4 linked regions of the Arabidopsis thaliana genome follow. The protein of the gene in region 4 interacts with the protein of the main gene of each other region in a pairwise test. Each region holds a gene or a part of one and is shown on either strand. Other genes may lie near its edges. The genes, in order: PRE1, SDG20, AT3G24820 and AT2G18090.

The links.
Region 1: the proteins of AT2G18090 (region 4) and PRE1 interact in a two-hybrid assay, tested with the Arabidopsis thaliana proteins (one large-scale study listed by BioGRID).
Region 2: the proteins of AT2G18090 (region 4) and SDG20 interact in a two-hybrid assay, tested with the Arabidopsis thaliana proteins (one large-scale study listed by BioGRID).
Region 3: the proteins of AT2G18090 (region 4) and AT3G24820 interact in a two-hybrid assay, tested with the Arabidopsis thaliana proteins (one large-scale study listed by BioGRID).

What each region holds. Positions count from the first base shown.
Region 1 is NC_003076.8:15,954,611-15,961,669, forward strand, and holds PRE1 (basic helix-loop-helix (bHLH) DNA-binding family protein), read left to right. Parts: upstream 1-2,757; 5' UTR 2,758-3,078; coding exon 3,079-3,204; intron 3,205-3,540; coding exon 3,541-3,693; 3' UTR 3,694-3,949; downstream 3,950-7,059. UniProt on the Arabidopsis thaliana protein: Atypical and probable non DNA-binding bHLH transcription factor that integrates multiple signaling pathways to regulate cell elongation and plant development.
Region 2 is NC_003074.8:938,083-946,404, forward strand, and holds SDG20 (SET domain protein 20), read left to right. Parts: upstream 1-1,817; 5' UTR 1,818-1,893; coding exon 1,894-2,557; exon of another isoform or gene 2,558-3,028; coding exon 3,029-3,429; 3' UTR 3,430-4,012; downstream 4,013-8,322. Other genes in the region: BPM4 (BTB-POZ and MATH domain 4), read right to left, coding at 1-147, 1,271-1,725; LBD20 (LOB domain-containing protein 20), read left to right, coding at 5,550-5,960, 6,181-6,591; AT3G03770 (Leucine-rich repeat protein kinase family protein), read right to left, coding at 7,221-7,243, 7,366-7,678, 7,758-7,869, 8,038-8,081, 8,155-8,322. UniProt on the Arabidopsis thaliana protein: Histone methyltransferase.
Region 3 is NC_003074.8:9,059,271-9,067,518, reverse strand, and holds AT3G24820 (BSD domain-containing protein), read left to right. Parts: upstream 1-3,042; 5' UTR 3,043-3,152; coding exon 3,153-3,342; intron 3,343-3,440; coding exon 3,441-3,571; intron 3,572-4,339; coding exon 4,340-4,437; intron 4,438-4,660; coding exon 4,661-4,802; 3' UTR 4,803-4,837; intron 4,838-4,930; 3' UTR 4,931-5,165; downstream 5,166-8,248. Other genes in the region: AT3G24840 (Sec14p-like phosphatidylinositol transfer family protein), read right to left, coding at 1-123, 212-218; AT3G24830 (Ribosomal protein L13 family protein), read right to left, coding at 1,648-1,791, 2,055-2,142, 2,238-2,354, 2,635-2,906; ICK3 (Cyclin-dependent kinase inhibitor family protein), read right to left, coding at 5,777-5,846, 5,931-6,023, 6,123-6,529.
Region 4 is NC_003071.7:7,861,088-7,870,727, reverse strand, and holds AT2G18090 (PHD finger family protein / SWIB complex BAF60b domain-containing protein / GYF domain-containing protein), read right to left. Parts: upstream 6,535-9,640; 5' UTR 6,228-6,534; coding exon 5,938-6,227; intron 5,825-5,937; coding exon 5,745-5,824; intron 5,669-5,744; coding exon 5,481-5,668; intron 5,328-5,480; coding exon 3,411-5,327; 3' UTR 2,908-3,410; downstream 1-2,907. Other genes in the region: AT2G18100 (transmembrane/coiled-coil protein (DUF726)), read right to left, coding at 72-154, 268-327, 428-563, 665-735, 816-907, 1,001-1,098, 1,214-1,366, 1,478-1,646 and 3 more.

The sequences.
Region 1 (7,059 bases), on a different chromosome or scaffold from region 4:
AAGTAGACACAAAAACATTGTGGAGCCTATGAGACCAAACATTTAGTACCCGAACCCACATGGACTAACATGTAAAATCTCCCTTTGCAATTTATTAGAATGGTCACTTTCTTTAATAATCTTGTATATATAAAACACACACACACACACCAACACACTTTTATATATATTCTTGTATTCACACATATAAGAAAAATTGATAAATGTTTTCTTTAATTATGTGCTTTATTAAAAAATTGTATGAATTAATGTTCTCGTTGAATTTTTGTGGTGGATAGATCATTGACATATATATGGTGTACTTACTATACTGTTGTCATTCTCTTGAATTATAAGTGTGAATTTCATGTCGGATGATATCGGTTAGAGTAATGAAATGTTTGGCTATATAACAAGCACAACGATGGAGAAAATAATTTTCTTATATATTTAGTATATATTGAGCAAAAAGTACTTTTAATAAGTAACGTAACGTAACATTGATTTCGTTAACTATGAATATAATCCGATCCATGTCATGCAAACCTGTCGGAAGAGAACCATTCTCACTTATATTTTCTTGTTGGTGAGAATATATTAAACTGTTATTGAATTACTAATGAAATAGAATGTTGTGATAAATTAATACACCACACAAACGAAATATTTTGAGGGATAATGAGGGATTTCGAAATTTATATAACCTTTCATAATAATAATAATATGTTCAAACAGATAATTGTATTCGACTGTTACATACTTGTCGGATCTTTATTGATAATGTTATTGGACAACAAGATATCTAAAATTTTGATCTTATGGACCCGAGGGCAGCATGTAACACGAGACATGGTGGTGACACGTGACATAGTCGATGTTTTGTGAACATTTATATAAATTAATACTCAACCAATAATGGACCAATCGAACAATTAAATTAAGTTATATGAGACATGCGATTTTATTCACTTCAAAATAAAAAAATTCTTTAAATAAATTATTTTAGGCAAAGTGTAAGTGTGCGAAGAAGTTTGAAATAAATGGTCTGAACGAAGTTTTAAAGCCGATAGATACGTTTCTTTTAAGCATTTGGTTTCCTTTTCACGTTTTATAAAAGAATTAATTATGGATTTACCATTTTTTGAATGATATTTATGGATTTTGTCATTTTTTAAATAATTTGTGGATTTTGCTCTTTTTCAGTCTAAAAAATGAAATTTAGCATAGCTTTTATTCGTTATATTAAGGTTTAGTCGAGTTTTTTTTTTGTTTTTTAAGTTTAGCATTTAATATAAAATACTTATTTTTGTAAAAATAATATCGTAAATACGTACATTTATAAGTACTAAAATGACAATTTCGTAAAATTTTAGTAAAAATGACTTTTTCAAAAGATTTTGATGAAAACGGCAAAATCAACAATAATCCTTTTATAGAAAATATTTGTTTTATATCTACTATTTTTAAGTTACATTGACATTCTATAATTTTTTAAAAGTTATCACACGAAATATTTTACATATGAGGTGAAACTATTTATGGCTTAGCAGTTAGAAAACAATGTTCCATAGGAGTCAATAATTAGGCTTCTTCCTTTCTAAAACAAATGTAGTTAGTATGGAAGATAGAATTTACATAATTCTCTCTATGCTTTTTTATACAAGTTTGGAACTATATATTTTATACAAGTTTAAAATATATAGTTTGGTAATATACAAGATTTACAGATAAATATACAAACTGTACCTAGATATTGTGGAATACAAATTTAGAGAGACAATTTAGGCGATAATACTAGTTCTAATATTAGAAGAAAAAAAATTGAATGAAAAGTCATGTCATCACATGGTAGTTGCCTTTTTGTGAAATTGCAGATGAAGGGCCACAATGTTAGATGAACATGAAACACTTATCTTGACCTTCATCAACCCCATCTTTGGGAACTTTTCGTTTCCTCCATTTAACTATTCAAATCTCCTCCAATTATTCAAAAAATTTAGTACCCATTTATTTATCCACTCTATAGGAATTATACTGTAAAATTTTCAATAACTAAGCATATGTATATTTGTGATCCATTCTAGTCATAATCATTTTCTTTTTTTTTGGATAGTTGAGGCATAAAAAGTTGGGGTTTTGGTAAAACAAATCCTAAGAGAAATCTATTTTTGTAATTTTACCCTCTACTTCTAAAATATGCAGAATAATCATAAAAAAACAAAAATAATACGCAATATATTCCTTATACATATATTGTAAACGTATTCACGATCACATACATTTTAAAAAATCTAAATTAAAGAAGAGTTGAACTCTTTGTCTCGAGGGCTTCGATTTGATATAATACTTCTCAATTTTTTTAAAACTTGACGAAATCTGACAATAGCAAAAAATGTTATATTGCGTAGTATTTTTCACTTTGTAAAATTATTCTATATTTTCTGAAAGTAGAAATGGACGATTTCAAGACTTATTTTCCACAAAATCCTAAAAAGTTACGAATCTTGAAACTTGTGTATCATTTGAACTATACACAATAACTAACTAACCATGATTGAAAACGTTGTGAAATAATTCAATCCCGCCATTACCTTCGTATAATGATTGGTAATAGTCTCGACTGATGATATGTATATATACGGCTTGGAAATCTGTAATAAAAAATGATTTCGAAGTTTTGTGGTTTAAGGGCATTCAATCTATCGCTTTCTTCTCCCGTGACATCATTGTCGAGGTTTATTGCTGCTCTCCGTCGCTCTCTCTCTCTTGTGGTCCATTGGCCTATTTAAATCTCTCTTATCACATTCTCAATTTCTTTATATTTGAAGTGTATTCAAAACCCCAAAACACTTTTCTCATTCTCTTCTCTATTTTCTTCTTGCTCTCTAGTTTTTCTTTCTTCTTGGTCGTTTCCTTTCAGCATAAAAACCTTATAAAATCATAAAAGCTTACACCTACTTGCCACATAGACATAGCCGATCTCATTATATCTCTATTTCTATTTCTCAATAGAACTTGTTTGAGCTAGTGTGAGAGAAGTAAAGAAAGAGAGAAGAATCCACAACTTAGTTAGGGTCTTTTCTTGCCACATTGTTGAACATGTCGAACAGAAGATCAAGGCAATCTTCAAGTGCTCCAAGGATCTCCGATAATCAAATGATTGACCTCGTATCTAAGCTCCGTCAAATTTTGCCGGAGATTGGTCAACGACGTCGTTCTGATAAGGTATCACGCATAATATATGCATATATTCATTTATAACGACCATTTAACATTATCCATCGTGTAAACCTATCCAAAAAAGGAAAGAACAAAAGTTTTGTAAAAAGAAGAGTGGACACTAAAATCAAACAAGAAAGAAAAAAGAAGTCGGAACTTTTGACTCCGGACATTAAGGAACATATATACCAATATTCACAACCTTTTTCTTCCATATTTACATAAGAGATTACATCAAAATCATCAGCTTGCATGCATCTGCAAACGCATAAAAGCGCATGCATTGGTTCAAAAAACATATATTATAATGATTATGATTTTATTTCGTTTTTGTTGTTGAAGGCATCAGCCTCGAAAGTATTGCAAGAGACATGCAATTACATACGAAATTTGAACAGAGAAGTTGACAATCTGAGCGAGCGTTTGTCTCAGCTTCTCGAATCTGTCGATGAAGATAGCCCTGAAGCCGCCGTTATTAGAAGCCTACTCATGTAATCTTTTTTGTTCTTTTGTTTGTTTTTGACAAGCCTATCCATGTAATCTTAAATGATCGCTCTATAATAATTATATTTTTAACATAATCGTCTTATTATGTAAAATTCAAAGAGATGGGCTTGATCTTTAATGACATACGAATTTCATAGGGTTAATTCCATAGTCAAAAGTCTCCGACATATATGTGTGTAGCAGAACTGCACGAGCATTGCCTTAGCAGGTGCATTATTAAAATAAACCAGTGGGATGAAATTTGGTGGAGAAGAATCTTTCTTTTTTTCTCCCTAACAAAGAAAAAAAAAACAGAGATTGTGATGTCTGAACTCGATTGTGTCAGTCAAGGACAGTAAAATTGCGAGAGGACATTGTTAGTTGCGAGCATTTAATTTTATACGGAATAAAAAAAGTTATTTGGCACATTGTTTTTGAGGTAACAAATCATCTAAACCTCAAAATAGAGATAAAAAGCAAAAATAGAAATAGAAGACAAAATCAAATAAACTCTTAGCCATTTTGGAGGGGAAAAGAAACCCCATCTTAACTGTCACAAAAACGTTTATACACATCTAAAGGAAAGTTTTGCCTTTTAGGACGTCCACACAAAGAAATTAAATAAAAATCAACGTTATAGTTTTATTTGATATCTCATAATTCTACATGCATGTAGTTTAAAGTTTAAACACACGTATACGCATATTGATATACATGCACCCATGTACATACATTTAGACAAGTTTGGTCCTTTCAAGGCGTAGGAGACTGGTCAAATCTATCACTCCTAATTTTAAGCCATATAGCTATACCGGTTTGGTCCTTTCAGGGTTTAGGAGACTGGTCAAATCCGACTCCTAATTTTAAGCCATATAGCTATAAAAATAATCACAAGAAGAATTACATGAAAAAGGAGAGCATTCAGAGACTAGCTTTGTTACACTCTTCCACCTAAAACGATCTTAATTTTTTTTTCTTGTTACATAGATACAATTTTCAGGTCTTGTACCCTTTTTGAATTATTATTGTAAAATTTTGAGATATACTAAATAGAATAATTAAATAGCGGAAACGATTTAAACAATAGAGCAATAACGAAACGACACAATATTTAACAAGGTATCGGTTGGTTCTCTTTCAAACCAACCACTAGTCCTCGGCTGCAACAAAAGTTTATTAGATCACTTCAAGAAGTAAAAGATATACTTAGAATTTCTACAGTAAATTCAAATACATCTGTATCTAAGAACATGAACTAAGGTTAACAAGTAAACTCATTTTACTTCCCTTTAATCATGTATGAATTCTTCTTGGAGAAGTCTTTCCAAGGTGATCTCTCCCCAAACTCCACAGCGACACAAGTTTCACACAAACTTATCAAACACTCTGTTTTCTATTTCTCTGTTTTAACAGCAATCTTTTGTATCTTGAAAATTGGAGATGATGCTTGCAACACGTTGTCCTTATCCACCACAAAAGCAGAGTATATATATGAATATGACTCTTACAGAGAGCATCAAGGAAACAATTTGGATAAAAAGATTGCTATAATAATTGGTTCTTTGCAATCAAAATATGAAGTGAACTGTGACAGTCCAAGAGCTATATATGTTTGTCTAAAAATATGAAACGGGAACATATAGAAGTTGAGCTACACTTCATAAGGGATATGACCAAGATTGGTACTCTCTGGTCAATCCTACTGACATATTGTGTAAGGACAAAGTTGTGTAATGACATCAGAAGCAGGTAAATGAATATTAGATGTAACCGTTTGTCGAGGTGGAGATTTGTTGATTATTTCAACCAAAGACTCAAGAAGCTTAGAGAGTGAAGCTTTGGTTATGGAGGTTTTAGCTAAGTTAGTGTAAACGTCATTAAGTTATGTTTTCTTTATAGTAAAACAGGCTAAAACAATATAAAATACAAATTACAGTACTCTGTTATGTTTTTTTTTTTTTAATCAATTTCCAAGATACTTCCTACACGGGGAAACAACTTTTAGAATCTTTCTCCCATAAATAAAGTTCCTTGCGAAACACGTCGTTGGACTACCGAGGTCCAATGGCCGAATAGGTTACTTCTGCCACAGTCCAAGATTCTTCGTTTCGCTTCTTTCGTGACGAGGAGGAACCAGTCTCAAGTTGACTTTTACGGACTAAATAACCAGGCGGTCCAGGCGGAGCGATCTCTATTGTGTCGCTTGCGAACATGACAGAGATTGATAGCATCGTGGGCCTATCCTCAGCACATTCTTGAACACACAAGAGACCAATCTGTATGTATCTTTTAACTTGGTGTTGTTGAAATGTTGATGAATCAAGGATAATTTGATCTATGATTTCGAGCCCTTTACCTTCCTTCCAATTCCTCCATATCTATTCATCATAAACAAAGCTTTAAGCGTTTATATCAATCACAATAAAAAATATAAAAAAAAGACGAAAATGCTTTGGATGATTATTACACTTACATATGTAATAAGACTTTCGTCGTTCTCCGAGTATCTATAAAAGTCTCTGTTTTTAACCCCAAATATAATCTCAAGAAGCAAGACTCCGAAGCTGAAAACATCTGACTTTGTTGAATAAATCCCTTCCTCCGCGTATTCCGGAGACATATAGCCGCTTTGTCAAGCAACAAGAAACACAATTGTGAGGTTTTGTAAAGTGTTTGCTTTATTTTCAAATGTAACGATGATAGTTTGTTTGCTTACTAAGTTCCGACGATCTTTGTTGTGTTAGCTGCTGTCGCACGCTTGTCGAAGAGTTTACTCATCCCAAAATCTGATATCTTCGGAACCATATCTTGGTCAAGTAAGACGTTGCTCGGTTTTAGGTCTCTATGGACAATAGGACGCCGCGAATCTTGGTGAAGATATAAAAGTCCCCGAGAGATTCCATTAATTATTTGGACCCTCTTCTCCCAGTTTAGCTTAGAGCTTTGGTTTTTGTCTAAGAAAATGTCACAACCAAAATCACATTAGTTTCTTTTCAATAACTCTTAATACAACTACTTAAACTGTGAGGCACTAACCGAATATATACTTATCGAGGCTGAGTTTTCCAAGTACTCATATATTAAAATCATCTCACCGATCATATGGACTCTCCGATCATTCGTGATAAACCATGGATAATTTTTGGAGATTTTAATGAAATTTTGGATATGGATGAGCACTCTCGAATGGAAGATCACCCAGCAGTTACCTCCGGTATGCGAGATTTTCAGTCTTTGGTGAACTACTGCTCATTCTCAGACTTGGCATCTCACGGGCCCTTTTTACTTGGTGCAATAAGAGAGATAATGACCCAATTTGGAAAAAACTGGATAGAGTTATGGTGAATGAGGCTTGGAAGATGGTCTACCCACAAT
Region 2 (8,322 bases), on a different chromosome or scaffold from region 4:
TCAGATGCAGGGACATGAATAGAATGTAACCGTGGGCAATCTATTTCTGAGACCACAACTCCCACGGTGCAATTAATTTTCAGACAATCATCCTTCAGAAAATCAGATGTTTCCAGCATAAGTCTTCGAAAAAAGCGCTTGTAGCCCCTGTAAGCATATAAAATTGAATAAGGATCCGTTGAGCGAAACAGGGAAGTACAAAACTCTAAGAGGGAATTATTCCTCTGCATTAATAAGCAATGAGATCTTTCTAATAGAGAGACAAATCAAAGCCAAAGGCATCACCTTCAAGAAGAAGAAACCAGAGACAATGGTTGATTAATTCATACAAGCAGACTTAACAACAGATGTTTAAAAAAGCAGGAAAACCAAATGTACGAATATTGAGAGCAAAAGACAATACTCTGTTGCTTAACTCATACAAGAAGTTTCAAACCTAACATGAACAGTTTCATAAAAGCAAGGTTTGTGCTGCTATATGCAGGTAAACAGTAAGCAATGTTCCTACTTCAGAATTAGCCTACCATATTGAAAGAATTGGTGCCTATATAGTAAAACATCACAATGACAGGTCTTTGAAATCATGCCAACATGTGAAAACACAATACTTTTCAAGAAAATCCTAAATATCATCAGTCCAAACCCTCTCTCGTTCCCAATCAAGTTTCCTTAACTACAGAACCAACGCTACATGCTGGTGAAGCAGCAGGAACCAAATTCTGTTTATGAAAAGTTCAGGTAAACTAGTTACAGAATGTCCAAAACAGGTAATAGAACCTTCATATTCTAGAAACTTGCTTCTTCTACTCAAAGCCCTCTCTCTTTCCATACGTCACAGACTCACAGTTTCAAGCAGACCACAAAAATAAAGCCAAGCAGCCTCCAGCATAAAAAATAAAGAACATTGTTTATCGCTCTCACCACCCATCTTTCAATTTCATATACAGGTCACACAACAAAAAAGAAACAAACAGATTGAGAAATCCACAGCTAATGTATCTTTATTTCCTCTGAATTTCTCAATCTCTTTTATATTTTTTAATGTTGTGAGCTCAATCTCATTTTGCCTTCAACAATCTACACTCTTGAGTCTTGACCACTAATAACATCCGTAACCTCATATAAACCCCAACAAAGGAGCAAAATTTGTTCTAAAAGTAATGAGCTTTCACTAGAAATCAGAGACCCTAAGCCAATTCTTCACCAAACCCTAGCAAAATGGCTAAGAGAAAAATAAAAAAATTGAAAAGAAGAAATCGAAGAAACGAACCACATGCTGCCACGATACTTGAGAGTATAAGGACCGCTCTCAAGAGCACGATCGAAGTGGCTATGAACCTTATGCTTCCCTTTACCACTCTGATCAAGCAAAGAAAGCTCAAAAAGAGCCCTAACATCGGTACCATCGCTAGCTAAAGCAATGAAAACGGAGACATAAGCCGAATTATCCTCAGGATTCTTGCCATCAGGATAGAAATAGATAGCCCATTGATAACCCCCGACGGTGAAAGTATCGCTGGCGATGTGTTTTCCGATCCCGATTCCTTTAGCCAAAGAATAGCCTTTGATTGTGAAGCTGTGTGATCCGTTTATGGTCTGTGTCACCGAGAGAGAAGTCGTCGTCGGTGGCGATGGCATTTCGAAATTTCGTCGTTGTTGCTCGCTCTTTTGCAATGGATTTTGTCTTTGTAAGTTTTTTTCCTCTGTGAAAATGACAGATTTCATTACACAGACCAAAGCGACGGTAGTAAATCTATAGTTATGATTAACACAAAAAAACTCGCCATTTTTCTTTAAAAAATTCTTACTGAAGTGAAATTAAAATAGAATTTAAGGATATAAATAGAATTAAACGCAACGACGTCGTTTGTATATCGCTGGCTGAGAAAAAATATGCAGCGACTGCGAGAGTCACCACCACCGAAGACGCGTTGTCTTGGAGAAGCTTCCGACATTATTCCGGCCGCCGATCGATTTCTCCGATGTGCGAATTTGATTCTCCCATGGCTAAACCCTCGAGAACTCGCCGTTGTTGCTCAAACCTGCAAAACCTTATCCCTAATCTCGAAATCTCTAACCATTCACCGATCTCTCGACGCTGCACGATCCTTGGAAAACATCTCAATCCCGTTTCACAACTCCATCGATTCTCAACGATACGCGTACTTCATCTACACACCTTTTCAGATCCCCGCTTCATCTCCTCCTCCGCCGCGACAATGGTGGGGAGCTGCTGCTAATGAATGTGGATCGGAGTCTAGACCTTGTTTTGACTCAGTGAGTGAAAGCGGACGTTTTGGGGTGAGTTTAGTGGACGAGTCAGGATGCGAATGCGAGAGGTGTGAGGAAGGATACTGCAAGTGTTTAGCTTTCGCGGGGATGGAAGAGATAGCTAACGAATGTGGGTCGGGTTGTGGATGCGGGTCCGATTGTTCGAACCGGGTTACGCAGAAGGGGGTTTCGGTTAGTTTGAAGATTGTGAGAGATGAGAAGAAAGGTTGGTGCTTGTACGCTGACCAGCTTATCAAGCAAGGCCAATTCATCTGTGAATATGCAGGTTACAATTACATTTCGATTTCATATTACATGATTAGAGGAATATTAGCATTAGGTAACGTTAACCAACTTTTGGTTTCCTAATAGTATAGTGATTCGTTTTATTGCAGTAGGTCACTAATTTTGGAAGATTGATAATTGGAACTTGAAAATCAAGCTTAAGATTACATGATTTGAGGAATATTAGCATTAGTTATTAGCCTTTTACACTTGGACTGCATATGATTTAGCTCGATGCGTTGAGATGAGATTCTAGCATGGTATTAAGAGTGATCTCCATCAGTGAAAGATCTGAGCTTTCGAAATGTTCTTGTTTCAATCGTTTAGAGGTAGTATCACAATGCTGGATTTGGAGATTAGAGATAATGACAAATCTTTCTTCTTTCTTGAATGTGTTTTTTCTTTGTGATCTGCCTTAATGACTTGGTTTATGCAAAAGTCATAAACTTGATTTTGTCGTCTCTTCTTATAGGTGAGCTATTGACAACAGATGAAGCACGTAGACGTCAAAACATTTACGACAAACTCAGATCAACACAATCCTTCGCTTCAGCTCTTTTGGTCGTACGCGAACACCTCCCTTCAGGACAAGCTTGTTTAAGGATAAACATCGACGCCACAAGAATTGGGAACGTTGCTAGATTCATCAACCATTCTTGTGACGGTGGAAATCTCTCCACTGTTCTGTTGAGAAGCTCAGGAGCGTTGCTTCCTCGGCTCTGTTTCTTTGCAGCAAAGGACATAATCGCAGAGGAGGAGTTAAGTTTCAGTTATGGAGACGTAAGTGTGGCCGGAGAGAACAGAGACGACAAGCTAAACTGCTCTTGTGGTAGTTCCTGCTGTTTGGGAACGTTGCCTTGTGAGAATACCTGAATTCATCATCATCTTGTCTCGCTATACTAATGTCCAACACTCTTATTATTTGAAAAATTCGAGTTCTATGTTTGTAGCAAACACAACCAAGCACCGTCATTGTCATTCGGAAGTTACACTTTCTTATTAATAGCGGCTCTACTGATTTGGAGAAGGAATGGGGGAAATTTAGAAGTAATTCACGAAAATGAACCCACCAAAATGAAGTCATGAAATACTAAGAATTTCGTGAAATAAAACTAATTTTGAAAATGGCAAAGTACGGAAAAAGAAAAGGGAGGATTAATGTTGTGAAGAAAAGGAGCACGACAGACATGAAGGTTGGTTAGCTTACTAAAGAACTCCACACGAAACGGTCAACACGATTCTCGTGCCTCTCCTCTCTCAGACACTCTCACATATATACTTACTTCTCTATCCATACGAAATTACGTACGAATACGATACTTAGATTGTGGTAGCTAGCTATACTATACAATTTGTTATTAATCATTGTATCGTACATTTGTTTTACCTTTTGAGACAATTAACTTTCGTCTGATTTATCTTCCTTTTTTCCTTAAGATAAAGAACATTCATGTGAATTTCGTTATATACCACATGCATGCATCACTGGTTGTCTGGTTGATTTAAGTTATGTAAGCAAAAACATACAATTTTCTCTCTATATATACCACATGCATGCATGTACTGATTACATATTGATATTGGCATCAATCTGCTCCGCCCAATATTCTTGGGTACTCAGGGAAAACAAAAACAGATAATTTAAATTGCATCACATATTCTAGACTTAAACATCAAATCGATGTATGATTGGTTTTTCTAAAAGGAAATTAATCGTGTATACTTTTTTTCTTTTCTTTTCTTATCAACTAAATCGTGTACTTCATTTCATATTATTGTCAATGTCCTGAAGTTTATTTCTCTATACTTCGCAATTGTATATCTCTCATTTCAACAACTTTCGAAAGTTCCCCCCTTTGGAAACGTTTATAAGTGTTCGTCTTGTATAAGCAAAAGGACTCTAGATTTTTATGATTATAAATCTCAAATGTATATATCGCTAATTAATGGTTTCAGACGCAATGTACGCATTTCCATAAGTTTGTTATACTAGTTCTAACCATAACTAATATATTTACATTTAATAAGACCTAAGATAATAAATATATATATATATATATATATATATATATATATAGCGAAATACTAATTATAAACTTATTACTTTATTAAACACTCTCTTTGCACGTGTGCCTCACACCTTCTTCCCATTGATACGCTCGTTCTTGTACCTAACAATACGTAAATATATAACCTAACTAATATTACATATTAATCCATTAATAAGTTATGGTGAGCAAATTTGTTATATTTGGGTTACAAGATATATAATTTATTATTTGCCACCTTCTCAAATGTGAAAAGGTTATATATCAATAAAATAATATTGACACGCCAATTATAGTAAATATTTATGTGATTTACTCGTCAATAGATAGATACATTGTGTTATACTTCCATTACTCTATTTCAAACATTTAATTAGTCACCACTCACCAGTGTCGCAATTGACTAATTTAGATGTTATGATATTTTTTTTGTCAGTCTTTAAATTTCAGTTAATGTTACCCATGAACATAAGTAAAATTTATAGACGACAAAAAAAAAGCTTACAACGACTAAAATAGTCAAATGCGAAAACACGTGTGAAATACTATTAATGTCATATATTAAAATCTTAACTTAAAGGAAGAAAATAATTTAATTAGTAAATAACATAATTGGGGGAAAATGGTGAAAAATCTTTGAATAACATTTAAAGCTATAAAATGCAAAACACCAAAAAAAAAGTCATTGACCAAACTAATTTTGGAAATGAAATAAATTTATAAACAAACTAAATAACAAAAAAAAAGATTACCACATTTACCTCGCGACCTCCTTCATGAAACAAACGTGGCCTACTCCGTTTCTTCTTTTACTTATATATCCACATTCACACATGTACATATACACTTCATATAAATTAACATACACATATAAGTAGAGATATCGTTTATCTCGCAAGAAACTCTCATCAACTAAAGCTAATTATTTAATGTTTGTTTGGTGATATGGCTGATCAGCAGCGAGGCCACAACACCTCAGATTCTCGCCGGAAATCTCTAGCCGGAAAAAGAACCTCACAGCAAACTCCGACGTCATCACTTAGTTCCGGCGGAGTATCCATGGCAGCTGCAACGACGGGGACAGGGACGGCTTCGCCTTGTGGGGCTTGCAAGTTCTTGAGAAGGAAGTGTGTGAGTGGATGCATTTTCGCTCCACATTTTGGGTCAGACCAAGGAGCGGCTAGGTTCGCGGCGGTTCATAAGGTTTTCGGAGCCAGCAACGTGTCGAAACTGTTGCATCATATTCCGGTGAACCGTCGTCATGATGCGGTGGTTACGATCTCATACGAGGCTCAAGCTAGGCTCTCTGATCCTGTCTATGGCTGCGTCTCAACCATCCTTGCTCTCCAACAACAGGTAAAATTAATACTTGATTAACTTTTTCTAATAAGATATACTAATGATCAGGTGTCCAAATTTTGTTATTTAGTAAAGCTTGTAACGGTTAAAATCGAACCGAATATTTCGTAAGATTTTTTGTTAAATGCAAATTCATTTCCTATGCTATATTAAGACTAATAAATAATTGATGCTCATAATTAAATAAAAAATACTTTTCTAACCATAAATTAATTAGGTGGCCTCGCTACAGGCGGAGTTATCGGTGGTGCAATCACAACTGATAAACAGTAGAGTCGCAATGGCCAACGTTATGCAACAACAAACTCATCACCAACAACAGCAACAACAATTAGTCGTTATGCAACAACCCGAATACTCCAACAACTCCTCCGCCTCCACCACTCTCGCCGGAGCCGCCATGAACAGCTTCACCATGACGGCAGATGCAGCAGCCGTCAGCTATGACGTCATGGCTCCGACTAACTTAGAACATTCGTTGCAGCCAATGCCACCGCATCAGCAAAGGAGAGGAGATTATCAGCATGAGGATGAGGAAGAGAGCGGTGCTGATTTTTCGGTGGCTGTTGGATCGACGGCGGTGGCTTCGAAGGTTATATTTCCGGCGGAGGATTTTCACCGGAGATGAATGTATTACCTAGGGTTTGTCTTTAATTTAAATATATCTCCGTTTTTATAATAATGTTGAGAAAGAGAATAAGTATATCCAGCAGACGTATACTATACATGTAGAGTTGTCGTGAAATATTTGAATGAGATATATGCATGTAGTTATTGGTTAATTATCATACTAGTTGGAATTAACTGAATTTACATACGAATCCAAATTAATAAATAAGTAAAGGATTTGATGATCCAACACCAGCCATTATCCTCTATTTTGATTTCTTGGACAAGAAGAATCAATCAAGCAAATCTTTTCTAAACCCTAGAAATCGGTTCCATCTCAATTTCTATATACAATTTTAATTTATTTTCGCTGAACAAAACAGGAAGAAAAAACGATTGAATTTTCCAAAATTATCTCACCATTGTTGGACTTGTATTCCTTTTGAAGAATAAAAATTAACCGACACTGTTCTTTTAAGTAAAGTTTATAAGAAAAATTAACTATATTATTAACTGTTATGATCGTTTAAGCTCAACACAACTAAAGACAAAAAAACAAAAACAAACATCAAATTACAAACAAAAAGGTTATGTTCTTTCCAAAGAGTAGTGATCAGTGAACAAGACCAAACAAAAACCCTCGTCTCTCTACCTCTCATGTTCTTCACATCCTGCAATTACAACCACACAAATAAGTCTCAGATCAATAAACTTATTCAATCTCAAATCTTTAACAATCAAATTCTATTCTGAACTGAATCAATTGATCATAAAAGATCGAGTTCAAAAATACCTGAATCTCGGGGAGATTCGAGTGTTGTTACGTGTAAACGAGAGGGAGGAGGAAGAGAGGAAGCAGCAGGAGAAGGCGAGCCGAGATTGCTCGAGGGATTGCTGTTTTGTAGCCAACCTTCTTGAACTTGAGAAGCAAACTGAAGATTCCACAGGACATCTTCAATGGAAGGACGTTCTAAAGGGTCTTTAAGGAGACACCTTACACATATCTCCATCATTGTCTTCAGTGATTGGTCTGAACAAGCTCTATGGACCGTTGGATCCACCATGCTCCTACGTGCTCCATCATCCGCTGAAATGCTTGCTTGTAACTACAACAAATAAAAAAGAGTTTTTAAAGTAGATGATAGCGATTCCACATCAAGCTACATATATATCGAATGGTGTTACCTGCTCTTTTAGAACATCGACTTGACTCTTTGCTCTCAATGGTCTTCCCACTATAAGTTCAAGCAATATCACTCCAAAATCATAGATATCGATTTTATCTTCGTCTTTGATGCTGTTAAGAAACAGAGGATTAAACCATATAAACCGGTTTACAAGCTGATGAGAAACAGAGGATTAAACCATATAAACCGTTTTTGATTCTTTTGAGAAACAGAGGATTAAACCATATAACCGGGTTTACAAGCTGATGAGAAACAGAGTAAAGAAGATTATTACACACCTTGGAGTGCCTTTAGGTCCGCTCCGAGATCCTACTTGCCCCACCTTAGAAAGGAAAGCAAAAGAGATTCAAAATTCAAGAAACAAAAACATTCGAACTTTTGACATCGTCATTTACCTTTCCAAGACCTTCCACAAGCAATGGAAGATTATAGCTACTGAGTTTCGCCGCAAGGTTATTGTCAAGCAAAATGTCTGTCATTTTAAGGTTGTTATCATAAACACCAGGCACAATACCGGTATGCAAGAACTGGATCCCTTTTGCTACACCTATCGCTACGCTTAT
Region 3 (8,248 bases), on a different chromosome or scaffold from region 4:
TAATAGCTTTCTTCTTTAAAGATCTAGAACGAGTTCTTGTAATCTTCTCATCCTCTGAAACCTCAATGTAATCTTTACTCTTTCCTTTATCAGTTTCTGGAACCAAAAGTATCTCACCTAATGCTACAACAATAAAAGCAAACATAATCAAATACTTCAAAAATCACATAAAAGCAATCAGATTTTTCAAAACCAATATCTGAAAATTTACCTGGCATTTGTTTTTATCAAAGAAACAGATGATAATAATGTAAAACCTATGTATCTGCAAAAATGTAGATTTAACTCAGATTTATATGAAATCGAATCATCAAATCAAATCGTAATTTTAAATCAAACCCAAGATCAAGAGACAAGAATCATCAAATAAAAACTGATCCTTTATTGCTCCAAATTCAAAGATCCAGAAAAACAAAAACCAGAAATGATTTTCTCAAAATTCGACATTTTTCGTCTTCGAATTCTTTTCTTACCTAACAAGCGATCTCACGAAATCGCGGAGTATCAAAATCAGAAATCTTTCTTTAAATTTTCCAGATTTAGGTAAAGAAGGAAAAAAAAGCTCTCTCTTTCAACAAAAACGTCGTTTTCAGATTACAAAGTCAAATCTTTTATATACATATACGTATAAAGTTTTCCTCGGAACGTAGCTTGGAGAAAGAAGAAGACGAAGCGTCGTATTCAAACCCAAAATTAAATGCAGAGAAGAAGGAAGAAGAAGAAGAGAGAGAAAGCTTTCACGATGGTTATATTCGCCATTTTTATAGCTTGCTTTAACATGGAGTAGAAATGAAAACCGAAACTAAACCGGTAAGTAAACCAGGTTTAACCGGAGATTTTATTAGTCAACATTTGTTTTATTAATCAATGCTTTGAGATTTGGAGAGTAATTAACGTTACGGCTAGTCAAAGATAAAGGTGTTGTTAGTTAACTTCTTATTAACGGCGAGATTTAACGACCGCTTGGTTGTTGTAGCGGTGGTTACGGTACGCGTAAGCGCTAAGCTAACCATAACTGTCAATTTTAACAGTATTAGTTTGGTTATGTGTAACTTTTATTTTTGGAATTAAAAATCTGATGTGGGTCCACCGACAGAATAGTTTTTTCCATGTTGTCTCCACTAGTTGTATGACACGTGGTAAGTGCCGACGCAGATTTTATACGGAAATAAGGAAGTGCCACGTAGCTAACTTTAGGTCCAAAAGGAGAGGGACAGGTAGACCACGTGAGTTGATCAATTCATGGCCTTGCTTACATATGAAATAATAAAACCTTTTTTTTTTGTTCATGGCAAAATGTTTTTATTTGAATATAAAATTACTTTTACGCACCTCTTATTTGATATAATATCTCCAGTAAAATCTTAAGAATTACACAAACTAGCCTGAAGAAGAAGAGAATTTTGTTAGTTCCTTAGTCAACTGTCATGCCATATAGTGAATTTGGATTGAAGAATATTTGTAGAAGATTAACATAATTGGGACGCTTAGAAGTTATAGAACTCATCCCTAAGGATTGAAGTATCAACTGATAAATAAAACTGAAATGAGGTGATAAACTTCAACAGTGATACAAGGAAGAAAACAAAATCTGAATAGATAAAAACCAAAACAAGAGTTAAACCAAAAGATAGATGCTGATTTTCTTCAGTACTTGATCGATGCAAGAACATCGAGCTGGGATCCAAGTTTCTCCTCTGCAACCTTCTCGGCCTTTGCCCTGAGCTTGGTGAGTTGCTTCTTACGCTCATACAAAGCTTGTGACCTCTCCTTTCTCTTCACCTCAAGCTCCTGTAAAATCATTAAACCAACAGTAAATTCCCAGTTTCTTCCACAGATTAAGTGAGATAATTTTCTCCTGACTAAACTAAGTACAATGATATGATCTTCAGTTATAAATTAAAACAATCAGCAAAAGACCCAGAACAATGACAAAGATGTGTCAGTAGATGCTATTCAAATCAACTCATAGGAAACTTACAAATACAATTTTAGTAAATGAAGCACCTTTTGTTCCAATAATAAGGCAGACGAAAAGGACAAAAGGGACATACCTTGATGGTATCGTAATGGTTCCAGCCAACTTCAGAAGACAAACGTCCCAACAAGCAGTACTTGTGACCAGCCTGAAGCCTCAACACCCTAAACAAAACAAAACAAACGAAAACCAGTTGACAGCTAAAACACATTGAACATAACCAAAATTACAAGATAGAACAAAGTTGCAGAAACATTACTTGAGAGCATCAGGAATGACCATTCTCTTGACCTTGTCATAAGGAGGTGGTACTCCCTCAAACACCTTCAAACGTGCAAGAGCAGCAGCACCACGCTTGGTCTTGTGTGGAATCATCCTGTAAATGACAAATGATCACATTTCAAATCCTCCATCACACTATCAAACATACAATTCCTAACACAGACATCATTGCACAAAGATCAAAAGCTGACCATTTCTTCATACTTAATAGTAACTAACCAACCTAAACACAAATCCATCCATTGATGCAAACCCTAACAAGCTACACAAAATATAACAACTTTCCAAAAACCCAATACTCAAATTCTAATCTTCATTTTCAAGAATCACATACTAAGCTAAGAACTTTAAGACTGTGAGATTAGAATACGAACCCACGAACGGTACGCCAGAAGATCTTAGACGGAGCACGGAAATGAATAGGACCATGAGAAGGTTTAGTGTTCATGCGTTTCCTAAGAAACCTCATGTACTTCATCTTCTGACGAACCAAACCACCAGACAAACAAATCTCCTCACATCGGACAACAACAACACTCTGTCCATTGAGCAACTCTTTAGCTATGATCGAAGCAAGACGACCACACATATGGTGACGTGCGTCAACAACGACACGCTTTGAACATATCCCTGACCCAGACACCATCTTCTCGATTCGAATTCGCCTCTCCTTAGCTTCCGCTCTTCGAAAAGATCTCAGCTTCACTTCAATGGCGACTTTATATATGATGCGACATTAGGGTTAAGAGTTCTCTAAACCCTAATTTATTGGGCCTTTTGTTATTATAATAAGGCCCAGTAGCCCAGTAACAGGCCATGCCCAGGCCCATTTTTTCTACTTTCTAAGGCATTGGAGATTTTCAGATTCTTCTTCTTCTTCACAGGATCAGCAATGAATATAGCTTCGAGGATTCGACGAAGTTTTTTAAGAGAGAAGAAGGAATCTTCAGATGGGAATAGCTTGAAGAATGGATCGAGTGTTAAGGAAGAAGGTAAAGATGAGATTTTGGGAGTTACTGATGAGTTAATCGATCATGTCAGATCCTTCACCATTGATACGTTTAAGAACTTCTCTCTGGAAGGTAATTACGAAAATTGGATCCCAATTTAGTTAGGATTTTTTTAGTTTTGTGATTTATGAAGTTGATTTTAGTAGTTTGGGTTGTAATTTCTAAAACAGATGAAGAAGAAGAAGTATCTGTGAATCCTTTGGGAGATGAAGATAATGGAATGAGTTCATCTGCAAATGTGAAGAAGGATTTGTCTGATTGGCAGGAGAAACACGCGGTTCTCGTGTTATCGAAATCGAAGGTTTTTGGTCTTGAATTTTGAATCTTTTTGTGATTGACTTTTGTTTTGAAATGAATGGAATTGGTAGCTGTAGAGATTACAAATGATCAAAGTTTAGCTTTTGGAGCCAATGGTGCTATTTTAAAGTTAGATTCATATCTGAGTGTGTGGGCTGATGATTCTTATATAGCCTATTACATAGCTGTTGTCTTCTTGATTTCCTAAATTTTGCTTCTTTTGATGATTGAACTTGTGTTGAAATGAATGGAATTTGTAGCTGTTGTCTGTAGAGATTTCAAATGATCAATGATTGGATTTTGGAGCTAACGGTGCTATTTAAATTAGATTCAAATAAGAGTTGATGATTCTTATAGCGCCTATAGAAAGTTGCTGTCTTCTTGATTTGCTTGTAGCTTTGGGTTTGGTCAATTAGGAGCAATGGATCGAATCTTATAGGGAAATTTGAAAGTTACTCTTTAGGACTAAGCAAGATTTCTAAATGGATGGAACTGGTAGTGGTAGAGCTCTTGGTCCACTGGTATCACTTGAATCAGAATCGGATCAGAGTTTATGTGCCGAATCTTATAGTTCATTTGATGCTACTATCTTCCTGAATTGCTTGTAATCTGGTTAGGCTCATGTTAGTGAAAATGGTAAACATGCTCGTGTTTGCAGTTCAAGATGATTTTGTTACACAGTTGGTAAAATTGAATTTGGTTGATAGGACCATTGGGTTTAAACGAATCTATTTTCAAAGCTGCTCTAAACAAGATTGATTTCGTGTTACAGGAACTCTCACAGTTGAGATTCAAGTTATGCCCGCGAGTTTTAAAGGAACATCAGTTTTGGAGGATATATTTCCAGCTTGTGAGGAAGATTGTGGCAAAGTAAGTACTTTCTTATGCCAAAAAATTTCGTTTGAGATGGTTCCATAACTCCAGGTGTAATGCCCTTAGTAGGTGTTAAATGCACCTTACTCTGTTGTTCTGTGTATGATTCCACTTTCATATAGAGATAGTGAGATGGGTTTTTAGCTTGTAACAAAGTGATGAATAAAGATCACGAGAAATATGAGTTTAACCATTGGTAGTTCATGGAAATTATTTGCAGATATGAGGTGCTAGCAATCCAACAGGCTCAAATCAGGAGGATGGCCATGGAAGACAGTAAAACTTCTGAAAGCAAGGGTGTATATGAAGTTGAAATGTCAGAAACAAAGCAAAGGTTGAGTACAGGACCTGCAACTCCGTGAAGCTTCGGTGGTAGAGTTGGGATGGAACATGACAGGTACTGTAATATTACAGACTACGTATTTACTTAATACAACTATTATCAACGAGAATGAAATCACTCTAAGCATCCTATGACTTGCTTTTGCAGTTTTGCTCACAAATTAACCAAACAAAAACGCTGAACCATCGGAGAAGCAGGGCTTGATCAGTAAATATTGTTCATGTGTTAAAAGGTGACAAAACCAAGAAGGTTTTGATTCTTCAGAGATGTAAATGATCATGTGAATTTAGTACTAGTATCAGACATAACACAGTGGTCTTAAACGCTTTGTACTAATAAGAATAGACATCATTATTTAATGTTTTGATTCATCCGATGAGCAAATGATCTAAAGAGGTGAAATATTTTACAGAAACCAAGAAACCTAATCTTTAGCATGAAAGGTGCTACTAACTTAGACTTTTGAAGAAATAATTCCAGAAAGCAAGACAGTGAGTGCAGTGCCAATAAAGAAGAGAGAGATGAAATCTAATCGAAGCATTTTACTGCAACCTGTATGACAGAGGAATTGGTACAAGTACCCACATGTGTGAAAAGCCCAATGAGATTAGAGTATCAAACTATCAATAAAGAAGATAGAGATAAAACCTGTGACTAAGGTTTTTGTTCAGACAAGTTCACTACTTTTGCTACTTGAATCCAAAGTATATGACTTGTAAAGTAACTCTAATGCAGAACCACAAAACTCAGACCTTCACTGAAGTAACCAAAGAACAATGAAGAGATTTACAATACTAATTTAAGTAACTTGACAGTTAAATTAGACATTTATTTGTAGCAAATGAGAGAGATTAACATTACATTATTCTTGACTAACAAGTTATACACCAACCCTAAAACCCCACAAAGTTAGTCTGTGTGCAATTTTCATCTCCTCTGTTCCAACACAGATGTTTCCTAAAGCACACAACTTTACATCGAACACAACTCATTTCATGGCATCACTTTGACCCATTCGTAACGTCCAGGCAATGGATTGTCCGAGACAATGTCAAAGTTGTACCTGCAAAACCATAACTCCCCCAAAGTCAGACCAAACTCTAAAAACTCAAGAGAATCAAGACACTAAAGAAAATGGGATTTGTACTTTTGAATGAAGAATCTCTGTTGTTGCTGTTCTGCGCTAGCAAAGAAGTCTTCAATCTCACTTTGTATTGATTTTGAATCACTTATCATGCTCCTATGAGAGAACCAACATATCAAAACTCAATCTCTGTATTGTAGTAAAAAAAAAAAGTTTGGAGCTTTAAAATGAAAAAAAAAACAGAGTTAAAGTTACCTGTTTTCTGATTCCAAATCAAAACCTTTATCTCCAAAATTACAATCAGACCTAGATATTCTCTCATTATCACCACAAGCTTCTTCCGTCGTCGTATCCGGCTCTAATTTCTTCGCCGGACCGGAACTAGCCCTAGGGTTTTTCGTTTGACATTGATTGACACTAGGAATGAGCTGTTGCTTCTGCTGTTTTCTGGTATTAGTGAGTAATGGAAGCTTCACGAGACGGCGGCTCCGGAGCTGGAGGTAGTTAAAGGAGTCTGCTTCGTCGGAATGAGAACGGAGACGGTGGAGGGCGAGGTTTTTAGCGGCGGCGGCTCTGGTACGGAAACCTAGAGCGGGTGGGTGAGATTTATCCTTAACGGAAACGGCACCGGCGACTTTTGACTTCTTAATGTATTTTCCCATCTCCGGGAAGGTGGTTTACTGAATCTCCGGTCGAGAGCGAAAGGAGGGAAGCAACGAAGGAGGAGGAAAAAAGTGATTTTTAATCTGAAAAAGTGAAAACTAAAAGGACAATGGAAATATTTATTTTAAAATCGAATCAAAAAACAAATTAGACAAATTTTTAAGGTGTCAAAGGCCCTCTCACCTGATTGTCATCATTTTCTTCGAAAAAAGATAAATCAAAATTTAATTAATTGGAATTTAATTTAATTTTTGTATTCTATCTGATTAAAACTTAAAAGTCTACTTTACAAAAGTAAATTATGAACAATATATGAGATATTTAAAGTATTAATTTGAGTTTGCTTGAGAAAAATATAGTTTAATACGCAAATTTTTAAAAAATATTCATTTAATACGTAAACTTTGAATATAATCATTTAATATATAGAAAAAAGTTATTTTACACTAAGTTAATGTTATCTAATTTTTTTACGTTGGTATAAATTTTGGCTGATAAACAATTAAGTTTGTGTAAAATAACCGGTCAATAATTTTTACATATATTAAATGTTTATATATAAAATTTACGTATTAAATAACAACTTTTTGATAATTCATGTAGTAAACGACATATTTCCGACTCTATATTTCACTTATATTATATAATTAATTCTTAGTTACTCCAAAATAACATAAAATAATAGTTCTCAAATGAAGAACATTTTTGGAAATATATATTCCAATTATTCTATACACTATATATATAGTATTTAAAGTTTATGAGTGGTTGGTGCAACAAATAATAAAAGGCTGCCGAAAGTAACAAGGTCTTTGAGAATAAAGATCATCAAGCTTATATTAATTGCTTTGGTAGACCATCCATGATTATAAAGCAATTGATATCGTGTGGAAATTTTTAGTTATTTTTGTTAAATAATGCAAAGATCGTTGTATGTGTCAAATTTGTTTTGGTTTAAGATAATAAGGCAGTTCATTTTTTGCATCCATTTTCATTGTTTCATAAAATTTGGTAGACAAGTCAACGTTAACTTTGTACAAACAATCCAAAACAAAAGCTAGCATTCAGATTTTCAAATGTCATGCAGGTTATTGGTTCAAAAGAAAAAAAGAGTCAACCATCTATTAAATTCTTCACATTTGACAAAAACGTACACATTAATTGTATACAGATACATTTGACTGTAAATTTTTTTTTTTTAAGTAAACAAGTGTCTTAAAATTAACATCATAGGGTTGATCACTTACCTAAGTATTTATTTTCTTTGGATTTATTAGCATTGGACATTTATATTGGTTGCTTCTAGTTTTATAGTTATGTAATCATCTCAACAACCGTTCTCTTTGTGATGTAATAGTTGAGATTATCTTTCATAAATTAGGCTTCAAAAGTTGACTTGTTGGTAAATTTGTCGAACAAATAAAGTTGGTCTGACTACATGCTTATACTCACGTCTAAATAGAAAAATTAATTTTCCTTTACATAAAATTTAGTTTATACTTTATAGTATCTGAAATGTAAATATATGACTCAATTTGGTTTTCTACATTTCTTTTGTGTAGCAAACACAGTCTTATTCTTTTTTGTTTCTTTGAAACAAGAATCGTGATGCGGCGACTAATTAATCTACTGTTACGTGATATACATTTATACATTAAATCAGACTTATATTTATTTATTTTTGTTAAAAGGCCTTCTTATATTAATATATATGTAAC
Region 4 (9,640 bases):
TGAAAAATGTGTTAAAGACAAGAATCAATTGTCAATTCTAAAGCAAAGATAAATATTGAGTGGAGAAATACCATTCTTTTCAGTCTCTGCCAGAGTCTGGAGGCACTTAAAGACAACACGTGCACCAAGCGAAAAACCAACCAGAGTCACAGGTCTGAATTTCTCACAAGTTTTCCAATGTAAGAGAATCAACATGCTGATGTAAAATACTAATTGCACAACTTTCTATCATAAAGATATATGATGGAATTTATCCAATAATTATACCTATTTCCTTGCAACCCTTTTCGAAGCGCTTCAGCAAGAAGCTTCCCTGCTTTGTCTGACCTGAAATAAGATAATACGAAAATAATAGCACATAAACTTACTTGCAGTACTGGTTTCATCACATTTGGCATTTCAGTTTCATCAAATATTTTCATTTTACCTGTCAATAGCAATACTCCATCTACTATCTATAAAATCAGCAGCTACAAGGATTGTTGCCGGCCAAACCATTGCTGCTAAAAGCGAGTTTAGTACGGTGCGCATTGCACCTTGTCTCATCAACTCCATAGCAACTCCTGCAACAAGTTCATGTCAATGTTACTATCTATTCTTAGAGCAATAGCAAAAAGATAGATTTACATGGTTACACGTATTGGATAAAACTATATATTATTACTTGAAGTAAGCCAATCCTGAATTGCAGTGCTCACTGCAATAATATTCTCGGATTCCCATTGCACCGTGTACCTAAGAAGGTATTATAGCAAACATATGGATTTTATGATATAGTCACAAAAAATATACACAAGAACAATTCATTTTAATACCTTTCTAGGTTGCTAGTTAACCCTTCCCAGGGTTTTACAAAGTCTTCTTCCTTTAAAACAAAGCCAGCAACTAAGATCTCCACCGCTAATCGCTATTACACCAACAAGAAAAATAAAGAAAGAACAAAGAGATCAATGCAGAGCAAAGAGATTTCAACATGAAACAGCAGGAATTTAAAACTAACTCCTTGATTATGATTTTCTCCAATAGCTTTGAATTCAAACTCTTCAATGTCACCAGTTCTCCTAGCCATCTTCGTCCCAGTGAGCCCAGCTCCAGCAGCTATTCATGAACACATGTAGAAACAAAACAGAAGACTAAGAACTATACAATTATCATCACTTTGATTCATTTTATTTCTTAAAGGAATCTAAAACTGATTCTACTTTTTATTTACCTCCAAAAGATGCTGCAACAGCAACAGAACCAGCAACAGTTCCGGCAGCCTCAGCAGCTGCAGCAAACCCACTGGCTCCAATTACCGGAACTATTGTGCCTAGAGTTGGAGCCAATGCACCGAACCCTGCAGCTATTGCTGGAGCAGCCAATCCTGTTTCACATAATATGTAATCAAAACAGATTAAGAATTAGCATTTTCCAAACACATACTCTTAATTTTCTAAACGTTGGAAGAGATATTAACAGTTAGAAGACATCATACCACCAGTGATGGCCATCAATGTACCCCCTGTTAAAGCAGCCGCTCCAACTATGCCTCCACGTTTCCACTTAGCCCATTCACTATTTGGTGACAAAGACTCTTCTTCCTTATTTCCACTTGACTTTTGCAATGCCATGGCAGAGCATGCAGACATTGTCTCAACTGCTTCCTAGAAAATACAGAAATTGATTCTCAGGTCAATCCAAATGCACAAAACAGAGAATCCTAAATATCCCAATGTCATCAGATCCTAAATCCTCAACAAGATAGCTAACATGTAACTATAGGGTTGCTATGCTATGTGGTAGCATAAAATTTACAAAATAATTTGAATGAATGAAGCAAACAGACCATTTTAATCCACTGAAAGTCAAACCAAGTAGCAAGTAACCGCAGAGCAACATGGTGACGCGCATCATAGCCTTTCCTACGCCGTGTACATATCTCATTCTCCTCATGTTTATCTGCCAAGCAAGCAGATAGTAGCTCGTAAAGAACATTTATCTTTCTCTCATGGCTAAGCAATGCTACTTCCCCAACAGGTTTCTCATGTTCAACAATCCCAAGATTGTGGCCTCCATCTCTAATTTCACCCTCCCCGTGGCTCTCCGTTTCCTTAACCTCAGCACCAGACTGTGCCTCGGGAACAGAATACTTGTCGCGGCATTCGTTTTCGAATTCCACATGTTTCTCCATCTTAGATTCCACAGATAGAGAGCTGCTTCGAATGTTTTGATCCATAGCATCAGCAGCTTTAGCTAAGGCGGTCTCTTTCTCCACCATTTCACTAGAATCATCATCATCATCACTCACATCCTCTGAGAGTAACTTGATAAACTACAATAAACCAAAAGTAACATCCAATAAAGAAGAGCTCCTCAACATTCACAACGAAATTTCAAAATACGGAGAGAAATTAATCATACCGCACCGATGTGATCCTTAGCCTGAGTAGAAGCAGCTATCTCTTCAAGGCCATGCCAAGCTGATGAATCAATCTGAAGACATCTGAAAGCAAATTACAGAGACAGCTCAAAATGTATACATTACACACACAGAGACGCATATGAACATGACTATTCCAGATGATTTCAAGATCACCTGAGAACAGGACGGAGGAGGCCGGAAACTTCGTGGACCCAGAGATCCGCCTCATCGGAGATAGGATCACTGTCGCTGCTGATTGGCTCTCCGGTACTTCCGGTGGCCGGGATTCCCAATGGCTTTGACTGGCTGATCTGCGCTTGGTTAAGCGCGATTGCAAACAAAGCGCTTGCCGCGTATCTCTGCGACGGCGTCAAATTTGACGTAGCTTCCACCATCAACTCAGATCAACAAAAACGAAATCGAAGAAACAACAAAAAGTTTCCAAATCCAGAAACGATCAATAGAGTTCGTCTCATTTTCCAAAAACAAGTAGAATAAACTGGAGCCTACACTTGTCATGATATAAATAGATTTGAAACATTCAAAACAAAAAGAATGAAACGTTACACTATCATTATCATATATATAGAATAATAAGATGATATGATCCCTACAAATGTTTTGATTACATCCATGGACAACAATTTCTTCCCATTTTTATACTTGTTCCTAAGTACAAACAATGTAAAAAAAAAAGATACAGAAGTTGGGTATGTCTGTGCAAATCTTAACACAGGACAACGTTACAAAACCTAAATACTGAAGAAAACAATGGGTGCAGTCAAAAATACCGCGAAGAAACATCTTCTACATATGCACCACTCGTTTTTTTTCATTTTTGCTGATGATTCTGCCATTTATTTATGTTCTGTAATAATCCTGCAAAAAAAAAGAGAAGAAAGAGGGCATAGTCCACCATCGATCAGACGAATCTAGGACATTGGATGATCTATGGTAACCTGTGCCCCAGGTTATGATTTCTCTCTATGTGAACCCGAGCCCACGACTAAAAATGCACGGTGCTGTTAGATCGTGAATGCATTTGAAGATCGTTTGTGGAGCTCATGGAGTCACCTTTGCTTACATCTAGTGCTGGGCTATGTCCTTCTGCGGGACTGAAGCTATCGTTTATTGAGTGCCGGATTAATAATTCTTCAGGACCACGGAATGTCGAAGTTGGAGAAGGAAGACGTTTTTGGGACTCCATGGCTTCCACTTCTGCCAAAAGATCTGAGACTGATTCGTCGCATTCGTCAGGTCCAGCCACAATGGGTTGCCAATCAGTGGTAGTAGATGCAAAGTTGAATTTGAAAGTTGGACTAAAGAGATCTAAAAAGTCTATTTCTTGATTGTCTGGGAAAGACGTCAAACCCGAGTTCGAATCCCACACATTTGAAGCACTGCTTGGAGTTGCAGCATTCCAGTTCTGTCCACATGACTGGACTGTAGCCGTGACTTGTTTCTCAGCTGAGCCGCTAAGACTACCGTTTTGATTGCAAGCAGTCGTTGCTGCACTGTTTCCATCTGTCTGACCAGCACTCCATCTTTCATGTGGTGGCAGAGAGCAGTTTGAGTTTCTAGGTAATGTAGCCAGCGAGAGTGAACAGCTTATTGGGCTTTGTACAAGCAAAGAACTTTCAACTTTTCTTTTGTCCCAGAGAGAGATAAAACCCACAGTATCCCTTTCATTAGAAAGAGAAAAATCCAATGGCACGGCGTGGCTACAATTGTTTCCGCTTTTGTTACTCACATCCGAGCTCCTTGTGATGACACTGTTACTGCTAGAAATAACACTCTGGTCAGTGCACACTGAGTTGGGGCTGAAGTCAAGTATTCTACTCTCTATTTTAGGAACAGCCACAGACCTGTTTTGATCGTTAGCTATAGTAGCTGTCACTTCCTGCTTGGGGATAGAATGATTCTGTAATAACCCTGTTTTATGGAACTGCCCATTTAATGCGTCAGTCAAAAGTATGGAGCTGTGTTGCTGTTCACCCAACCTCCATATTCTCAGCTCTGGTGGGAAATGCCCGCTTGAATTCCATTGTCGCAGGTTATATAACGAAAATGGTCCATGAATCTTCCCATCTGGATCTCCATATAACCATACCATATTTGTATCCAAACCATCAATTGGCTTATTGGACAGAGTGGCACTTGTGTCAGGTTTTACAACTGCATGGTTTCTGCTATCAGAACTGGAAGGTCTAACTTGAATACTGTGCCCGTTCAATTGCTGTGATTCCCCTTCTTGATGCTGTTCAGATGTATTTAACCTATCACAGCTTCTGCCCGCATTAACCTGGTAAGACATAGTTTCAGTGACTCCTCCGGCTGAATTATCTGTGACTGGAGACCTAACTTGATCGATGAAGTGAGAATCAAGAAGCTTTAACATTTCCAAGTTGTCCACTCGCTCCTTTCCAAACAATCTCATAAGCTTGGAGTCACACATTATTTCAGAATTCTGAGGAGAGTTTTGTAGATTATTCCGTCTCACATACTCTAGCACGAGAGTTTGGACATCATACTTTGATAAGACAGAAATATCACCGTTTTTCATATACCCCACAAAGTCCAAAAGCTCATTGGTTGCCCAAGTAGCAGCACTAGTCAATTGTGGAAGTCTGTCACCCAAAGAACAGTTTGAATCCAAAGAAGGACCCAAATTACTCACAGAAACAGCATCCATTTTCCTTACTTTAGCACGACGTATTTTCATAACCCCAGGAGAATTTCCATCATCCTTTTCATGAACCCGACTAGTAGTTCTTCGCTTAGCGGCAGTAGAAGAAGAAGATTTCCATGGATTTTTTGCTTTGGTAAGATCATCTAACGATAAACCTAGCTTTTCTTTAAGAGAAACCCAGTAAATCTTAAAAAGATACTCCCAGCTGCCTTGATCATCAAAATCAACCTGAACCTAGAAAATGTACATGTAATACATTTAGCTAGAAGAAAGAATCCACATTAAAAAAACAAAGCGACATTACAAGAACAGACCTCAAGTTCCACAAATAACCTTGTAGTACTGCGAGTAAGAGAAAGTAACAAAATGTAGACAGGATTCTCATACCTTTTCTTTGTTAGCTTCAGCTGCATTCTCAATAAGCATTATAGTCTTCATACAAATTCCACAGAATCCTTTGTTCTCCCTTACAACTACATACTCTGAGCTTCTAACACACCTCTTACAAACTGAATACGGACAAGTATAACACATGTAGAACGAATCCTTTTGACAAGTAGTACATATGTGCCAACCTGAAACCAAAAAACCATCCTCATCACTATGAACCATCTCAAAGAAGAGAAAACAGATAAAAATTGAACAACTTACCACAATTCCATTTAGATCTCGATCTGAAGAATGCTTCAGTACGCTTAACACAAGCTGGGTGATAAGCCTTTGGACATCCCCTGACAAATTAAGAAAGAATCATCATCAGTCACAAGTAAAAGTTTCTATTTTTACAAGTAGGAATGTAATGGAGCTGGGAGAGTAACTTGTCTAAGCTCAAAACTTCACTAACCTACGATCGCAGAGAACAAGACTACCACCATCGAAGCAAACAAAGCAAACATCTTCATCTTCTCTTCTCTTCCTCGAAATCGGAGGCGAAGAAGCTTTAGCTAAAATTCTCGGCGGACGACCACGTCTACCTCTCTTCTTCAAAGAATCGGAATCTTCTTCGTCTAACTTCACATCCGAATCTAACGGAACACCACCACCATCGAAGAATCCCGGAGGAGAAGAAGAAGAATCATCTAATTTAACATCGGAAACACAATGATCGACTCTCATAAGATCGATTTCCGGCATCGATTCGTTGTTGGCTCCTCGTGAAGCCAAAGAACACTTTTTTTTTGCTTCTCAGCTCAACAAAAAGACAAGAACGAGGAAGCGGAAGATCTGAGGTTTTAAAAAAAGAAGGGAAGGTGAAGCAATCGTGGAAACCCTAACCCTAGGGTTTGGAGGAGAATTGGGAATTGGAGAAGGGAGGGAGGAGGAGGTGGAGGAGATGGTGGCGTGTAAGGAGAGAAGACACAGTGGGCACATGGAAAATGGACTTACTCGTTACTCGCCAAAAGCAAGAGAGAGAGAGATGTGACAAGGCAGTGTTTGGTTGTCTGTCTCCTTTTTTTGACTTTCTAGAGAGAGAAAGAAACAACACGCTTTTTTTTTGTTGTCTAAACGCCGCGCATATGGCTGGTTCCACGTGGGCAAAGTTGAGGCTGGTGGGAGCCACTCGCGTCTTTTCCCATAAAATAAACTATTATTATTTTTAATTTTTATTATTTTTTTAACAGAGAATCTTGTTACCACTAAAAATATATATAGGTGACTAAGCTACAAGATGCAAAAAAATCACGAGGCATTAGAAAAAATTGATCTCTGAGTTAGAGGAGTATTTTCAAATTTATATTTTAAGTAATTTAAGATTCATAATGATTTATTAATTTTTAATATGATTTTAGGTAAATTTAGAGAAATTTATGATTTGTTGTAGTCTGGTTCCCCAAATTCTACATAAAAGAATTACATTTGTGTTTTTTAATTTTATCTAAAATTTTTTTCTAAAATTCTATAAGAAATTATTCAATTATATATTTTATAAAAAAAAACTTCAATTTTTCAAATATCTTAATCCTGTCTTTCTACATTGTCGTAAAAATTAGATAAACTATGGTTAAAATTAAAACACAAAATTTTACAAAATCTCTCATAATCAACTTCGACATCATACAAACATCAGAGAATTTCGCTATAATAAATTAGAATTCGTCAATTTAGGTTTTTTACTTTGACAATTTTAGAGTTTAGGTTTGATGATTTATAATTTTATTGAAGAACATCATGTTATTTTTGTTTACAATTTGTGTTGTATAAGTTTATATATCTTTTTCAATATAAATATAGTTTGTCCAATTTCATGATAATTTTTAAAAAGGGAAATTTGTATTAACATATTTGAAATTGAGGAATTTTTTCACTATACACCCTTAAAAACTAATGATATGAATATTTTCAATAATAGTGGAATTAAAATTATTATTCAAATTATTAGTTCAATAATATTTGATTTTAGAAGATTCTTAAAATATAATTGATTGACATAAAAATTTGTTATCGTAATATATATTATTTTAAATATTATTATTTTTGTATATTTATAAAAAAATTCCACAGCTCGAATTAAACTCTTAACCCCACCATTTGTTTATTTTTATTTGCGTCGATTTAGTGGGGGAGGCTTCGTGTCTTAGTCTAACACGGACTGTTATATTAATGTAATTTATTAGATATTATTTTTTGTTAAATAATAAAGTGGACCAAAGCGAAAATGAAATTGAACTACTTTTTTTTTTTCTTATGTGCAAGATGTCGTGGTCGTAGTTTCTTGCTTTGGTCTTCTACTCGCTACCTAACCATATATCTTATCTTTAATTCTCATTTCGAGATCTTCTTTCTCTTAAAAGAAAAAAAAAATCAGCTATTAATTAGTTGACAAACTTTTATATAAAATAAACGAAGTGGACATAACGATTCAAGACTCAATACTTTATTAAAGTTGCAATGATTTCTAGCAGGATAATGTTTTATAACTAAGATTAACTGATTTTTTAGAGTTTTGTTTCATTTTTTTTTTTATAACAATAATCTTTTCCAATAGTACAAAACGACACTTGCAAAACATGAGTGTTAAAGAAACACTATGAAGTGATAGAAGATAGACCTAATAATATTAATGCGTTCTGGTCTCTAGTCTCTAGTAAGCTTTTATAGGACAAATCCATGGTAAAAGGTCAAGATTTATACGTACAACCGACTAATCTTATAGTTGATATGTCGATCGACGACGAAAAAAGATGAACATGTCACGTTTAAATATTATATGTAGTGAGCTGAAATCAAATTATAGTACATAAAACAATGAAAAATCGATTGGTATATAATATATAATTCGTGATCACATACAAACATATTATCAAACTGAAGTAATCCATTGATCATAGGTCGATGTGACATGAGCTATCTCACTAGATTGTCATTGTTAAACGTATTTATCAATATACAATATATAGGATCACACATGCAGTTTTACGTGAACAAAACAGCTTTGACTTCGAATGATAGAGATCAGAGGATTTTATCAAAATAAAATATTTAACAAAACAATACCGGCAATTTTTAATTTTAACTAATGGAACTAGTTTAATAAAACCAGGTGATATTTTGTTACAAATTAAAACCCAGAAAACAAATTTAATTTCCTTGTGAATTTGTTCAAGAAATTCAGGTGGTTTTTTTTGGGTGAAAACAAATGGTAAAATTAACATTAAAGCTCCAGTACGAAATACGAAAAATTTATTTACCTCTATTTGTTTTGGTTTGGGAGTAAAATGAATATGAAACTTAGCCTTTCGTTTTGGTTGCAACCGATGATAATCAAGATGAAAAATATGTTTTTTGAAAGAGGAAAGATGAATAATATTCATAATAATATTAAGCTAAGCCTTTTAGCTAGAATGAGAAACTTAATTTTATTAGTTTATAAAGAAAATTATATTTTTAGTTTTTTTTTATCAAACTGATAATTTTTATTAAAATTAAATCTCAAACTCAGTAAAAAAAGAAGAAATACAACCCAAATAAAAGAGAAATACAGTATAACCTCTATAAATTAATATTCGATAAATTAATAACTTCTATAAATTAATAAATTTTTCTGGTTCCGAGTTGGGACTAGTGTAAAAATTGATACAAATCGATAAATTAATAAGATAATAAAATTTTTGAAAATTCTATGTAAATATATGGTCCCATCAATATTTTAAATTAATAACTGTATAAATTTATGAATATATATATTTATATTTATGAATATATATTATGTAAAGCTTAGTAAAATATGACTTTCGTATTGTTTTATTTTAATTTATATTAGTTCTTTGTAAAATTAAATTCTAATAATTTTACTACGTATAAAAAAGTTTTTTTTTGTTTTTAAATCTAATAATGGTTTTCTACTCGTAATAATTTTTAGAAAAATTATTGATTGTATAGAAAAACTACCTTTTAGATCACATTTTTGTAAAAAATTACAAAATTTGTAAAATCTCTGCATAAATTAATACTTCTTTAAATTAATAAATTTTCTCGGTCCCGACATTATTAATTTATAGAGGTTTTACTGTACAAGATAACAAGACAAGAAAACCTAGAAATACTCC